Linked DNA regions of Schizosaccharomyces pombe. Changing the gene in region 1 together with any one later gene gives a genetic interaction. Each region holds a gene or a part of one and is shown in the gene's direction. Other genes may lie near its edges.

Evidence for each region. A genetic interaction does not mean that the proteins touch.
Region 2: of puc1 (region 1) and cig2, changing one enhances a phenotype caused by changing the other (phenotypic enhancement), as found in Schizosaccharomyces pombe (3 studies listed by BioGRID, with this or other methods).

What each region holds. Positions count from the first base shown.
Region 1 is NC_003423.3:3,698,261-3,705,693, reverse strand, and holds puc1 (G1 cyclin Puc1), read left to right. Parts: upstream 1-4,004; 5' UTR 4,005-5,041; coding exon 5,042-6,121; 3' UTR 6,122-6,496; downstream 6,497-7,433. Other genes in the region: U3 snoRNP protein Utp4, read left to right, coding at 1-1,952; SPOM_SPBP8B7.31 (acid phosphatase), read right to left, coding at 6,657-6,721, 6,775-6,894, 6,970-7,221, 7,280-7,361.
Region 2 is NC_003424.3:2,708,010-2,716,310, forward strand, and holds cig2 (G1/S-specific B-type cyclin Cig2), read left to right. Parts: upstream 1-1,772; 5' UTR 1,773-3,070; coding exon 3,071-4,306; 3' UTR 4,307-5,043; downstream 5,044-8,301. Other genes in the region: mitochondrial [2Fe-2S] cluster assembly and transfer glutaredoxin Grx5, read left to right, coding at 88-437, 770-860; P2 type calcium transporting P-type ATPase Pmc1, read right to left, coding at 5,044-8,301. UniProt on the Schizosaccharomyces pombe protein: Essential for the control of the cell cycle at the G2/M and G1/S (mitosis) transition. Interacts with the cdc2 protein kinase to form MPF. Interaction with res2 promotes the phosphorylation of res1 and inhibits MBF-dependent gene transcription.

The sequences.
Region 1 (7,433 bases):
TATACGGTGGTGTAGATCGCAGTATTGAAGGGATTGTTTGGAGTACCGGTGAAGAGGAGCTACGATTATTCAGTATAGGATTTTCAACTACTATTACTGAATGGAATTTACATACTGGAAAACCATTGGTAAACCAAGACTCTAATGCAGGAGCTATTTGGTCAATCGCTATATGCGATGAAACTAAAACTCTAGCTGTTGGATGTGATGATGGAAGTTGCGTTCTATTTGACATTAGTGGTGGCCCAGGTGTCATCGAATTTAAACGAGTTTTGATGCGCCAAACGTCTCGTATCCTTTCGCTCGACTTTCAAACAAAAGATCATCTTGTTGGTGGTTGCGCTGACGGTGTTATCAAAGTTTGGGATCTTAGCACTCCAAATTCCGCTATAATTTCTAGAATGCAAGTAGATCGTGCTCGAAAAGGAGAAGCTGCTTTAATTTGGGCCGTGAAAAGTTTACGGGATGGCACTATCGTAAGTGCCGATTCATCAGGTGCTGTTAAATTTTGGAATGGAAAATTCTTTACATTAAGCCAATCGTTCAAACTACATTTGGCTGATGCTTTGTGTTTGGGTGTTTCTGCTAACGGAGATATGGTATTTTCTTCAGGGATTGACAGGAAAACTATTCAGTACTCACGCGAAGGAGGTAAAAGAGAATGGGTCAGCAACAGTTTTAGAAGGTTCCATTCTCATGATGTTCGATGTATGGCCGTTTTTGAATGTAAAAGTTTGGATGTTCTTATTAGCGGTGGTATGGATATGATGCTTGCGGTAATTCCTGTTCGACAATTTAATCGCAAGAATCACAGGATGATATCTGCCGTTCCTCAACGCCCTCGCATGGCGGTCGCACCGAAAGCAAGGCTTTTTATGTTATGGAATGATCATGAAGTACTTCTCTGGAGAATTGGGTCTCCTGGCTATAGGTTTTTATTAAAAATTGTGTTGGCTGACGAAGAAAATATTTCACATGCAGCAATTTCTCCTGATGGGGAATTAATTGCAATTTCTTCCGTTTTGAGGACGAAGCTTTATCAATTACAGTATAGCGATGAAAATGTGAAAGTTGAAACAGTTGAGGACTCCTTCCTTTCAAATATTGGTGCTAGCCTGCTTAGTTTTACTGTAGATAAGAACAAGCTTATCCTTGTTAGTAACGATTCCGAGATATTTCTCATTGAATTAAGTCGACTGGATTCTCGTCAGCTAGAAGTTTTCGAGTTATCACAACCCACTAGCAAGAAAATTGCTCCTCGTCAGCGAAGCAATGTAAGCAGCATGTGTGATGGTATTTGCAGTATAGCGGTATCTTCGGATGGAGATTATTTTGCTGTTGCGGACACAGTTGGAAATATTTTCTGCTACTCCTTGTCAAATTTAACATATTCAGAGTTACCACGAGTTAACACTTATGTTCGTGCAATGGCTTTTCGTCCAGATGTACGAGGCCGTTTAGCTGTTGCTACGGCGGGAAATCAAGTTTATGAGTTTGATGTTCAATCCCGTAAATTATCTGAATGGTCAAAAAACAATTCTACAAATATGCCCAAAGAATTTTCGCAACTTCTAGATAAGGCATTCGGAGCATTTTTCGACTCTAAACATCCGAGTCGATTCTGGATTTGGTCAGCCAACTGGGTTTCATTTTTCGATCTTAATCTTCAATTACCAGCGCCTCGCGCTGCCGGAAAACGTAAAATTGAAATGAATGCAACAGTTGACGGGAATCTGAATGACAAAAAATTGGCGAATGCTAATTCGAACGGCATTTCAAATTATGGAACAGGGGATTCTAGGTGTTTCTGGATTACTCACAAATATCGACCAATGCTACTTGTAGGCTCTGTAGGAAACTCTGAATTGCTGGTAGTCGAACGACCAATCGCCGATATGTTGATGAGTAAATCAATGCCAGCAAGCTTTTATGAGCACAAATTTGGCTCGTAAATATGTATTATGTATGAAGATGGAGGAGTTTCTTCGTACTAAAAAAAACGAAGAGGTTTTAATATGTCATTTTACGTAAAAAAAATGTCTGGAATAGGGTGGTATTATTATGATTTTGTACAAAAAGGTCTTTTATTATAGGAGTTTATTTTATTTTTATTTTTTCCGATAAAAAGCATAGATTAGTTGCTAGTTAGTTTATCAATAAAACATTTCAAGGTGACACACCCATCCACAATATGATTATGGCAATGTAGCTGTGAATTTCCAAAGTCTGAGTTGTTTATTCCCATTATCGATTGGAGCATTATGCCTGTAATATGGTTTCACTTGATTCTAGGCAGATAGGCGTACAATTTTACGAACCCAAATTTTTTGATTAATAGACTTAACACGGCGAACTAAAATTTAACCGAACGCTATTTTTGTTACACCACATAATTAGAAAATTACTCGCATGAGGATAATTAAAAATACTCTGGTAAAATTAAAATTATTGTAGAAGACAGCTTGTATTTAAAGAGTAGCAATTACCATCTACAACTTATAAAGAAAACATATTCAAAGTAACAGAATCTTACAAAGGATATATATGCAAATGAAACGAAGAAAGCTCATACATGAACCCGTCTACGTTTCTAAACTTGATTACATTTGATATATTCAAAATAAAATAAAGAAGTGAAATAAGTGATTGACGTAAAAAATTATTTTCTTGCCGATGAGATTATACATTCGTTTGTTTATTGAAATTTGTTCACAACTTAGATAAATCTGTTTAGTAGTACCAGTTTTATGTACCCCCATTTAGTTACTACGATCCCACTTAAAATGTAATACAAACTGTCAGTACTAACCAGAAGAAGGACAATAGTACTAACGACTTAGACCCCCCACTTTGGTACAAAAACACCACCTGAATCAACAGCATGTAAAGTAGAAGTCATAGATTAGAAGCATGAGAACATTTCGTAGTGAAAATAAAACATTGCGTTGAGAAGCAATCTCGTTCAACTACCAAACATTTTTTTCCATTGAATAGAATAATGTTATGACCTTTAAGCCAAGCAATGCGTTTTTCAACGTTTTGGTTCTGTTATTTTCTATCCTACTTTTATCCGCACCACCAGGTGGAATTATCTGTGAAACTAGACGGCTCATAAATATCGTTATGTCACTGATTGCGAATCTATTTATCCATGCTAGTTATTCATGTTCATTCCCCACATTCTCCTCAAAAATTAATTATTTCATCGGAAATTAACTGACTTAAGTCTTGACTATTATTTACAATTTGTTTAATCCATATACTAAGTGATAAACATTTACACACAGTAATTGGGCTGCTTATTTCCTTCTGCTATGTAAAATAAAGATTGCGGTATATGCTATTGTGAAGAAAATCGATATTATTAATGTTAATCTATCTAGCTGTAGTTATAGCTGGATTGCACCAGCCATTTTGTTAATAACGTGATTTTCATAAAAAAAAAGCTGTAGATGATCGAACGGGTCAATATTTACATTCTTGAATAATTGATTTACCTCTGCTTCTTGTCCCCACTTTTTCTTACTTGCGTGCGCAATGTTAGCAGTACGTACATTTCACGATTTGGCCAATATGATTTACAGCAAGTAACTTATCAATTAACCGCTTTTGAAAATCAAAATTTTGTACTAGTTTCTTTGTTCAAGTTCTTTGATAGATGGCGTGCTATGAATGGAATAGTTTTGGGCTACGTCGTCACTTACATGATGTGCTTGACCCATTGAATTAATTGTGTGTTAGTACTTTACGCTTTCAGTACACATCGTTGGTATGGTAAATTTGTGAATCGGCCATACCAAGATGGAGATCACTTGAGGCTTAATTAATTCAAATCCGAAAATTCCGGTTGTTGTTACTAACAGTAGCTAGTTACGTTGCAGAAATTACGAGTTAGAATGGACATTGTACATTCACAATGTAAGGATACCGATTCGCGATATTGTCACTACACTATAAGATTTATCCTTATAAAGATATCGATTGCCCACCGTTTATAACCTTCCATAATTTATCTCTTTACCAGTTCCGCCTTGTTTTTTGTTACATTCTCTTTTCTTACCACACCATAATTGCTTTTGGTATACAAGCGACAACTTTATTTATTGCTTGGTACGAATCGTTCACAAATTCGATCTCTTAGTCGTATCCGTTTATCATTTTTTATAAAATAGTAGCTGACGGAACTGAATTGTTTTCTTTAAAAGAGTCTGTACCACTTACTTTTCTCCAGCTTTTGGTGTTCTTTTATAATTTCTGTCCTATCAAGGTTGCGGTAAATTAAATTGACTGCACTGTAAATGAATTCGAAAGTTTGAACAGCGTAACCAAATTTTGTTTTTCTTTTGCAATACATCGTTTGGTTTAATTGAAATTTATTTCCTTATTTTTGCTGCATATGGACATATTTTACTAAATATCTTTCTCTTCCTTTTATTTTTTTTTATTTTTTTTTTCTTTTTGGAATTAACCTTGTGTTTCTTTGTAATATTTTCATTAGTATGAATGCATTGTCTGCTTCTGAAATCCGTTAATCAAACTAAATAACTATTCACCGAACCTTTTTGGAAACATATATTTATCGCATCTAATTTCTTCCGCTTCATTTTGCATTCTTTTAATATTTATATAGCCTTTTTTCACTATATATTATTGGGTTCTTTCGTCTTGGCTTTTTACAAGTCCTTTGCAATTTACTCTTTCGATTCCTTTATATTACCCCTTCCATTATTGATATCTCTTTAGCGTCCTTGAAAACCCAGTAATTTTTCCCTTTTTTTTAATCGTCACCTCACTCTTTTTTTTTCTTCCTTTTTAAATCGTCCCTTAATTTTCCGCCGTTGTATCGCTTTCAGTTAGTTAAACACTATTCGCTTTGACCACTACCTCTTAACAAGCAATCTGAGCCTGTTTATGTCCAATTATTTTTTCTTCAGTATCATTTTTTTAATAATTCACTGAACTTTGAGCTGCAACTTCATCGACTGTGAAGAGCTTTTCTACTCTTTCCTTCTCATTATTTTCAAATACCTGTCTACCCAGTATGTTAGTTTCTTCCAATGAGGAACAACTTACTGCTCATACTCCCACTTCATCTTCAAGTATAGAACCTAAAATATTAGCTGCCTGTTCATATTCTCTATCAGTGGGCCCTTGCTCTTTAGCTGTTTCACCAAAAGGCGTTAATTCCAAATCTCCCTCTCTTAAAAATGAGACTGCATTTGTTGTCGACTCTGTTAGCACATTGTCAGCGGAATCTAGCGCCTTACTTTATAACACTCAATCCTCTTTACTCACTGGTTTATCAATGAACGGGTATTTAGGTGAGTACCAGGAAGACATTATCCATCATCTGATTACTAGAGAGAAAAATTTTTTGCTGAATGTCCATCTTTCTAATCAGCAACCGGAACTCAGATGGTCAATGCGACCTGCACTCGTTAATTTTATTGTAGAAATACATAATGGATTCGACTTGTCTATTGATACTCTTCCGCTTAGTATTTCCCTCATGGATTCATATGTCTCGAGGAGAGTGGTATACTGCAAACACATTCAGTTAGTAGCATGTGTTTGTCTTTGGATTGCCAGTAAATTTCATGAAACAGAAGACCGTGTTCCATTATTGCAAGAACTGAAGTTAGCTTGTAAAAACATCTATGCTGAGGATTTATTTATTCGTATGGAACGCCACATACTTGATACTCTTGATTGGGATATCTCAATCCCTACACCAGCTTCGTATATTCCTGTTTTAGACCCGATTTTTTTCTTAGTACTTGATGCATCAATGTTTGTACCTAATTTATTCAAATTTCCCGCTTCCAAAATCGCATGTTCAGTTATGAACATCGTAAACGAACATGTCGGATCGTTTCTTTTGACACACCCTTCTATGGAATCCTATCGCAAAGATGATAACTTTTTGTGGCCTGAAGACTTGGATACCGTAACATCATATATGGAAAACATGTCAAAGAGGTATGCTAATGAGGAATGTACTGATTTACTGTTTTCCTCACTAGGCCGTATTTCTAGTATTTTAGCAAAGAAATATCCGGAACAATGCGCAATGGCTGCCTGGTGCAACATGACTGAAAAGGATACTGAGCGTACTTTGTAACTTTAACATTGCTTCTTCTTCGATTTATATATATTGCAATGCTTCTAGACAAACATGTAATGGAGATATAATTTCAAAATTATATATTTACTTGAGAAAAGTAAGTGTATAGTGATGTAATTTTTTTTAAGAATTTTTATAAAATTCATTATATTAATCAATTAAACTACTCTGTTATGTTCTTTGTTTTCCTAAACCGGTTTGCAACTATGCTCATATGACATTATACCGTTTGTATATATTTTTGTTATTTATTTATATGATACTTACTTAGTTTGCAAAAAGAAAAGAGAAAGTTCATAAGAAACCCCATATTACAGATTGAAGCAATTTAGGTCTTTAATAGATTTAATTTCTAAATTTGATTCTTCACCCATTAAAAGTAGTATCAGTGTTTCCCAATTTTAACAATGATACTGTGATTAAACAAAATACATCTCAATTCGAATAGAGACTTCTAAATATAAGTTAAAGCACGATAGTTGTTTTCTTAAGATGCAAGCAAAATTGATTAACTTTTCTTTCAAAAGAAAAATTAACCATGCATATGATTTTTTAGAAATGAAAGAATATTTAGTGAGTTTTTTTTAATTTTCTCCACTTGTTTATACCTTGCTCAAAGGACGCACGATTAAGGCCATCAGGAACTAAACAGAATGTAACACCAAGTCTTTCAACCTCTCTGTTCCTAGACTCATCATCAAAAAACACCATTTCTCGATAGTCAATTCCAGATTCGTTGTGGATCTCTTTGAAGTGATCCATTTTACTACCTATTTCACAATAACTAGTTAGCAATATGATTATTGATATTTTCTGTATTGACAAAAATGTATTAAAAGACATACCTGGCCAAGCTTTTACATAAGTGAAAAATTCGATAGCCGGCTTAAGACTTCCATCTATTGGTACCTTCATCAAATTCAATGCTTGTTTCGCATACTTGGGAGCACAAGTACGGCTAGCAACGCACAAAGTAACTTTTTGGTTCCTTAGCTCTTGTAAAATTCCAGTTATATCTGAGTAAAAACAAATCTCTGTGCCATATTTGTCAATCAAAACGCCTGGGTCATTTTTGGAAGGCTTAAATGGTGCAGTGACTGTGAAACTTTGTTAGAAAATAAAACATAAAGTAGATCAAAGTAAAAGATTTAATACCATGGGTATCTATCCAAAGAGGCCACAGAGTGTAGTCTAAGTCAAAAACAACGCATTTTGGGAATTCGATATTTTTTACCATATTTGCTTGATATTTTATGGTATTGGTTATTAGGTTCGTAAACAACAAGAATGAAAGTCTTTTTAAGAGTGA
Region 2 (8,301 bases), on another chromosome or scaffold:
TACACTTTTATCTGCGGCGAATCAATGAGTTGACATTCAAGCTCAAAATTGCCTTATTATAAACACTTTACAATATCCATATTCAAGATGAATTCGATGTTTAGATTTTGGATTCCTAAAACCAGTATATCCATGCAACTTCGCATGCTGTCCACACAAACTCGTCAAGCTCTTGAACAGGCCGTCAAAGAGGATCCTATCGTTTTATTCATGAAAGGTACACCTACCCGCCCAATGTGTGGATTTTCATTAAAGGCGATTCAAATTCTTTCATTAGAAAACGTTGCTTCCGATAAATTAGTTACGTACAACGTTTTGAGTAATGATGAGCTACGTGAAGGTATAAAGGAGTTCAGCGACTGGCCTACGATTCCTCAACTTTATATTAACGGAGAATTCGTGGGCGGTAGTGATATCTTGGCGTCCATGCATAAATCGTAAGTAATGTTTTAAACTGTATTTTTATTATTTGGTAGAGAGACGGTGAGGATTGAGGAGGTGTCATAGGAAATGTTAAAGATGATGAAGGAGGATTCTACAACTGTTTAATCACTCTAGTTGATATTAAAGATAAAAAAACCCTGTTATATTTTCGCTCTTTCTTCAAATGAACTTTCCCTTTTAAAGCATTGGATAAAAATCAACTATTAGTGTATCAGTGTCTTTAATTCGTCGTCTATATATGCCACATTGTTCTCTCCCTCATTTTTTCTCTCATATTTAATTATTTCTCCTTGTCAACATTTCTGTATTAACAATTTGTCTGTAGAGGAGAGCTTCACAAAATTCTAAAAGAAATAAATGCTTTGGCCCCTGAACAGCCAAAGGATAGTGAAGAGGAAACTACTAAAAAGGATTGAGTCCACATTGCAAATTAATTTGCACAACGTACCACGGTCTTGTGCATTTTTTAGTTTATTGGTCAACTTGACACCACAGGCCATGTATATCAATCAGACGTTATTCAATTATCTTTTTGCTGTACGCTTGATATTCTTTAATGAAGCTTTGAAATTCTGTTTCTCCTCTTTTTTGTGTTCATGCCCTTTCATGACAAAATGTTGGAAATAATGTAAAAGAGCTCTATAAGAAAAAATAATTTTTATCGGAAGTTATTTTTTGGATCAACCTCAATATCAATTTGAAAGCGATCATGTTCATGTTCATGTCCATCCAAATGACATAGAGAATGGAAATTAGTGTCGTGATTTATGCCTTATTGTTATTCCTTGACTTTTTTTTTAAAAAAAATGTCGTAAATTAGATTTAATGTTAAAGCGCTATTGCTGAATACTGTTTTATTTTGCTTATGTTGTTGCACAGAACAATGTCTTGGTAGGTGTAATTCACAGAAAGCATTACGATTGGTTATCTGATATGATTTAAAAATTCTTCTTTGATTATATAAAGTACTGGCTTATCGACGTTACGAGACGTTTACCAAACTTTTATTAACAGATGCTTGTGTTTCTTGACAAACAACATTATTCCTTCCAAGCTCAGCATATAGCGAATTATAGTGTAACTGCGATATAAAGTATTAGCGAACTCTCCCTTTTTAATTCTATTCAAATTGCGTTAGTTTGTGTAGCATGTAATGACGGCACGCGCATAGTGAATTGTAATATACAAAACGCTACACCAAAGCGCGCGCTCTAAAACACGCCAAAACGAGGTGCACGCAACTTAGCTTGCGCGAAAGCGCGTTTCTCGCGTCGCGTCGCGTTTACTTCTTTTATATGCTTGCTATGCCTGTCTTTTGCTTTTTCACTGACACTTTGACTTGTGTTGAGTTACAAGAAAGGCTTCAAAGGCACTTGTACAAGTGTAATTTCCCTTTTACAAGACTCTACCAAAGGTTGGATCCACCTTGAAGTCCTTCTCTTGTTGTCGCTGCTTTTTGCGTTTCTTCTTTTCTCTTTGAATATTCCTTCTTTCTAATTTCTTTTTTCAAATACATGCTATAGGGATCAGTTTAGGCTCCATATACTAGGTTGAGCTGGTTTTAACTGTAAACAATAGTAAATTAAGCTTTCAGTATTTTGAGTGTCAAGCTAGTTTTTACTCCGGAGTATCTTATTTCTACTGTACTTATTTTCTTTTAATTAATTTTTTACACTTTTCAGCTGCTAAGTGTCGGTTTCTATTGTGTACTTTACCGTTTTAAGTTTCTTTGTTTTCTTTGTTCTGGTTCGCTTATTGTCCTACTCTTTTACAGGAGGCGCTTGCCAAAGACAGTCATTTCTCTTATAACAAGTACACTATATCTTATTAAAACATAATTAATCGTCCCCTTTCGATATTAGTGCAACAATTGCTATCCTACAGTCTTCCCAATTGCAATTTATTTAGCCTTTCAGCATTGCTCTCGCCCTCAAGCTGAAAAGGTTTTACTCGCTTTTCTTGCTGGAAAAATAACACCTACATTTGTTATTCTTTTAAATTCGAACTATCAAACTTATTTGCTTGTATTGTTCGTCTTAGTGCTGCTTTTTCTGATCCATCGTTTGTTTATCAAACCTTCAACTTTGCTTTTTCTAAACTAATTACAAAGAAGTGTTCTTTTTAATTCTCTTCGTTAATCATTGTCCCTTTAAACTACGCTCTTGTGCTTTATAAGAGTTAATTCTGCATACCTCAAAGAGGTAAATTCATTTTCGAATCGAACGTTAAAAAATTTATCTTTACTTTTTTTTCTTTCTCAATTTTGATTACATCTGCTTGTTTTTTTTTTTCGTTTATATCCACAACAGTAGGTTGGTTTGGTTTGTTTACACAATTCATTTGTTTATGTTTGGACGATTTCTTTCCCTTTCTTCCTATCAACAACAATAGAATAATTCGGACCCATTGATTTATTCTCATTTAAAAGAGAAACTTTAAAAATTCGCTATAAGTGCTTTCTGTTTCTCGATCGCTCAATTTCCCTAATTTATCCATCTTGTCAATTGAGATTAATTTACCAAAAACAGTTTCCTTATTTTAATAAAAAGAAGACATTTTTGGTTACAAACAATCAGATATATTTCTATACGTTGATAAAAGGGTAATTTATCAATCCATATTTCATATGGCTCTCTATTCAATTTCAAAGCCTGTTGGTTCTAAAATCAATAAGCATAGTTATCAAGATGAAAACACACTTGTTGGCAAACAAGCTTTATCAAAAGGGACTGAGAAGACAAAATTATCTACAAATTTTGAAATTAATCTGCCACGTCGAACTGTCCTATCTGATGTTTCCAATGTAGGTAAAAATAATGCTGATGAGAAGGATACGAAAAAAGCGAAAAGATCGTTCGATGAATCTAATTTATCTACAAATGAAGAAGCTGATAAACCTGTCGAATCTAAATTCGTGAAAAAGTTGAAAGTTTATAGCAAAAATGCGGATCCATCTGTAGAAACTTTACAAAAGGACAGAGTCTCTAATGTTGATGATCATTTATCCTCCAATCCTTTGATGGCTGAGGAATACGCACCCGAAATATTTGAGTACATCAGAAAGCTGGATTTAAAGTGTCTTCCCAATCCAAAATATATGGACCAACAAAAAGAATTAACCTGGAAAATGAGGGAAATTTTGAATGAATGGTTGGTGGAAATACATTCCAACTTTTGTTTAATGCCCGAAACCCTTTATTTGGCAGTCAATATAATTGATCGATTCTTGTCGCGTCGTTCATGCTCTTTGTCTAAATTTCAATTAACAGGCATTACTGCTCTTCTCATCGCTAGCAAATATGAGGAGGTTATGTGTCCTTCGATACAAAACTTTGTTTACATGACTGATGGTGCTTTTACCGTAGAAGATGTCTGTGTCGCTGAACGTTATATGTTAAATGTTCTCAATTTTGACTTGTCCTATCCAAGTCCTTTAAATTTTCTTCGCAAAATATCTCAAGCAGAAGGTTATGATGCACAAACAAGGACATTGGGGAAATACCTAACAGAAATTTATCTGTTTGACCACGATTTATTACGATATCCTATGTCTAAAATTGCTGCTGCCGCAATGTATTTGAGCCGCCGATTATTGCGTCGCGGCCCATGGACGCCAAAGTTAGTTGAAAGCTCTGGTGGGTATGAAGAGCATGAATTAAAGGAGATAGCGTATATTATGCTTCATTATCATAACAAGCCTCTAGAACACAAAGCCTTTTTCCAAAAATACTCCTCAAAAAGGTTCCTGAAGGCTAGTATTTTTGTTCATCAACTCGTCCGTCAACGATACTCAGTCAATCGTACGGACGATGATGACCTTCAATCAGAACCGTCTTCTTCTTTAACAAATGATGGTCACTAACGAACGCTCTTATAAATTTTCTTACGCAAATATTCTGTTGAATATGAGGTTGAGCTCTTCTTTTATTATTTATTATCATAACTTATTTACTTTTTAAAGAGCTTCTTTTTCTTCTTCTCTTTCTTTGAATCTTATCATCTTTATGCAAGGACTGTTTTCAAGTATGTCATCAAGCCTTTCCTCCTTGATAACTAAGTCCTTAATTATATACCATATACCCAAGTTTTATCCAAGAGTTTTAGAATTGAAAATTTTGTAGTCTACTAAACAAACCGTGTTGATGCTTAATCCTCACACATTGTCTTTTAGATGATTCCGTTGATTCTAGAGTATTCGATAATTTCATTCCTTACTTTATGTTACGTTTACATTTTTTATTTCAAAATACGTGTACGTTGTTTCCTCATATTTCTGTTAAACAACATGTTTCTAATTAATGGAGTTTTCTTTATTCATTCATAAAACTTAAAGCTCAAGCGGTATATAACAAACTGGCTAAACCATTAATAGGCAAAAACCAAGTAACTCATAAAGATAAACAAAGAAAGTAGACATAAGGAAAAAGGTAAAGCTGACTCGTTTTCTATACAAAAAGGGAATTTTTAAACCTAAGAAACAAACTTTTAATTGATAACAAATATAGAAAAAGAAGGCGATTTCCAACGAGAATAAGGAAATAAAAAAGAAAAATTCGATAATAGAATCACTGTTATTCTGTCTCATACATTCGTCTTAAATTAATGAACATTTGAGCTTTTTTTATCGAGAGCTTGGCGATTGTGAGAAATCCAAATGTCATGCCCACCTAATCGTCCGCTGGCTTCACTAACAAGTGTTGAGATAGGAATCATTAAAGCTACGCTAGTAGCTGAAGAAACAGAAGGTGAACGGATCTTCATAAATCTCTGTTTTACACGGGGACGAAGACGTTCAGGAAGCGCTTCCATCTGTTTATCAAATTTGGAGTTGTTGAGTAGGTGGCGTATCCTTCCTCCTCTAATGCGTTGAACGAAGCCAAGGGAATGACGAATAGAGTCAATAACTTCGTTGGGAGATGTGGGTTCATACGGGATAAGACTAAGGGATTCAACATCATGATCGGTTGAACGGCGCTTAGAACGGAACCTAGGATTTAGAATCCAAGAGAAAACAGTGTCAATTGTCTTAACCGGAAGGACCTTTCTTAGGAAATTGTTTGGTACACAACGAATCAAGGCTCCAAGTGGGATAGAGATAACACCAAACACGATGGAAATCGCCCATCCTTTACCATCGATTCTTTTTACGGAGAATGCGGCACCTCCGAAAAAAACAATTATAACTTGGATACCAGCAACAATAACGAAAATAGCAATAAAGAGGAAGTTATGGTTAATACGTTCAAAAATATTGAGCTTGTTATCCAATCTCCGATTGTTAATTTCGTTAAACAGCTGGAGCCAGACAAAGGTATTGAAAACAATAGTATTCATGTCCGCAGTATTGGAAGGGTAATGGAAGATACTATTACCAGCAAAGTGTAGCACCAAAGTAACAGCAAGTTGGTACATAGATTGACAAATAATCATTTTCCACATGTCAAAAGTAAAAAGCGATGCACCTGGTTTCTCAGGTTTCCTCTTTAACACTTCAGGAGTAGGAGGGTCAGTGGCAAGTGCAAGAGCAGCAAGTGTATCCATAATTAAATTAACCCACAAAAGCTGAACAGCAGTTAAAACAGAGCTTTGGTCAGTCGAGGCAACAGCAGAGATAATAGTCAAGAAAACAGCCGTAATATTCACGGTAATTTGAAATTGCAGGAATTTTTTTACAGCGTCGTTAACGGTTCTTCCCCAAGCAATTGCTTTCACAATTGACGAGAAGTTGTCGTCCATAAGGATAATATCGGACGCCTCCTTGGCAACTTCGGTTCCCGATTTACCCATTGAAAAGCCGACGTTAGCTTTTTTTAGTGCAGGCGCATCATTGGTACCATCACCTGTAACCGCTACTACGTTACCAAGCTTCTGCAGTCCTTCAATCAATAACTGTTTGTCCAAAGGAGATGAGCGTGCAAGTACATCTAATTTGGGTAAGATTTCTAAGCGTTTCTCATCAGAAAGAGATCGAAATTCCGGTCCTTCCATGGATATTCCATCCTCTGTGTAAATTCCGCACTGCGAAGCAATAGCCTTAGCAGTAACAATATTATCACCAGTAACCATACGAACAGTCACCCCTGCACCTTGGCAAACCTTTACAGCCAAAGGTACATCTGGCCGAATAGGGTCCATGATACCGAAAAATCCTAAGAAAGTCATGTCTGTAAATGCGTCTTCCCATTTCAAAGGATTAGAACTATCCTCGTCATTGGTGGGAATATCTTTGGGAGGCCAAGAGTCAAACACACGATAGCATAAACCTAAAGTACGAAGAGATCTTTTGGCATATCCAGTGATCATTTCTTTAAAATAATCTGCATGAGAATGCATATCTTCAACTTCGTCAAGGGAGCCATTGGTAATAACTGATGTAGACTGTTGCAAAACTCTTTCCGGCATACCTTTTACTACAAAGTAATACTTGTCTTTGTATTCAAATATAGCACCAGATGCTTTGCGGTCAGAGGAAAATGAGAAGAATTGCTTGATATCAACGCTTGAACGCATGCTATCGACGTTTGTAAGTCCCAGCTCTTTGACTGACATATCAAGTAATGCTGTTTCTGTCTTAGAACCTATAAACCTTGGGGTGTCAGAATTATCCTCAAATAGCTGTCGACATGTCGAATTGACAGCAATACTGTAAAGAGTTAAGTCCCGAAGTTCTGGGGAAAGGCGCTTAAAGGCGAATGCGCTAGCACCAGCGTCTTCGAACTTTGAAGAATCGGAACCCTGATCAACGTTGGTAGGAGTTTCATCATTATGATCAAAAAACAACACATCTGTGCCAAATCCACCCGCAACAACAGTCATTCGATTTTGGGTTAACGTACCAGTTTTATCCGAGCAAATGTTAGTAGCTGTTCCCATCGTTTCACAAGCTTGTAAGTGACGGACCAAGTTATTATCTTTCTGCATGCGATTTGTAGCAAAAGCCAAAGCCAAGGTAACTGCCAAAGGAAGACCTTCGGGAACGGCGACGACTAACAAAGTAACTGAGACAATGAGAATTTGCAAAAACTCTTGACCCTTGTTCTTAGAAGAGGAGTCATTGGATTTTAAGCGAACCAAAAATTCAATAAGTAGGACGATAAACAATAAAGCAGATGCAGCACCACCGAGTTTTGCAATTGCATCAGCAACTCTTGAAAGACGAAGTTGCAATGGAGTGGCTTGCCCTTCTGTACGCATTGCCATGGTTGTACGCCCGTTAAATGAATTAACACCGACAGCAGTTACCAAAAGTTTACCATTGCCTTCTAAAATAGTAGTACCAGAAATCAAATATGGGTCGGCATTCTTTCGATATTCGACGTCCGGCGATGTTCTTTCAATGGCAGTATTGGCATCTACTTTCTTGATGTTGTCTGTTTCACCAGTCATCGCGGATTCATCAAGAACAAGATTATTCGATTCAATAAGCACACCATCCACAGGAACTACATCGCCGGCTTCAACAAACAAGACGTCGCCAACAACTAGATCAAAAACAGATGTAGAATGAACAGCACCATCTCGAAGAACCTGGACATCAAAATTGGAAACTTTCGCATTTAACTTCTTAAACTGAAGCTCTTTTTGCCAGTCATTCACACCACCCACGGTAACAACAATAACGATTGCAGCCATAATAGCCACGCCTTCCACCCATTCGACACGAGGTTCAGGTTTTCCAGTGATGGGATCAAGGGTGGGAGGCTGCCCGAACGTTTGATATAAACCTAATGCCAGCGAAACTACGGCAGCTATACTCAAAAGAATAAGAACCTTATCCTTAAAGGCTTCGAGCATAAGACGAATGAGGCCTTTAGAATCATGTTCTGGGAGCACATTTTTACCATAGTATTTGACTCT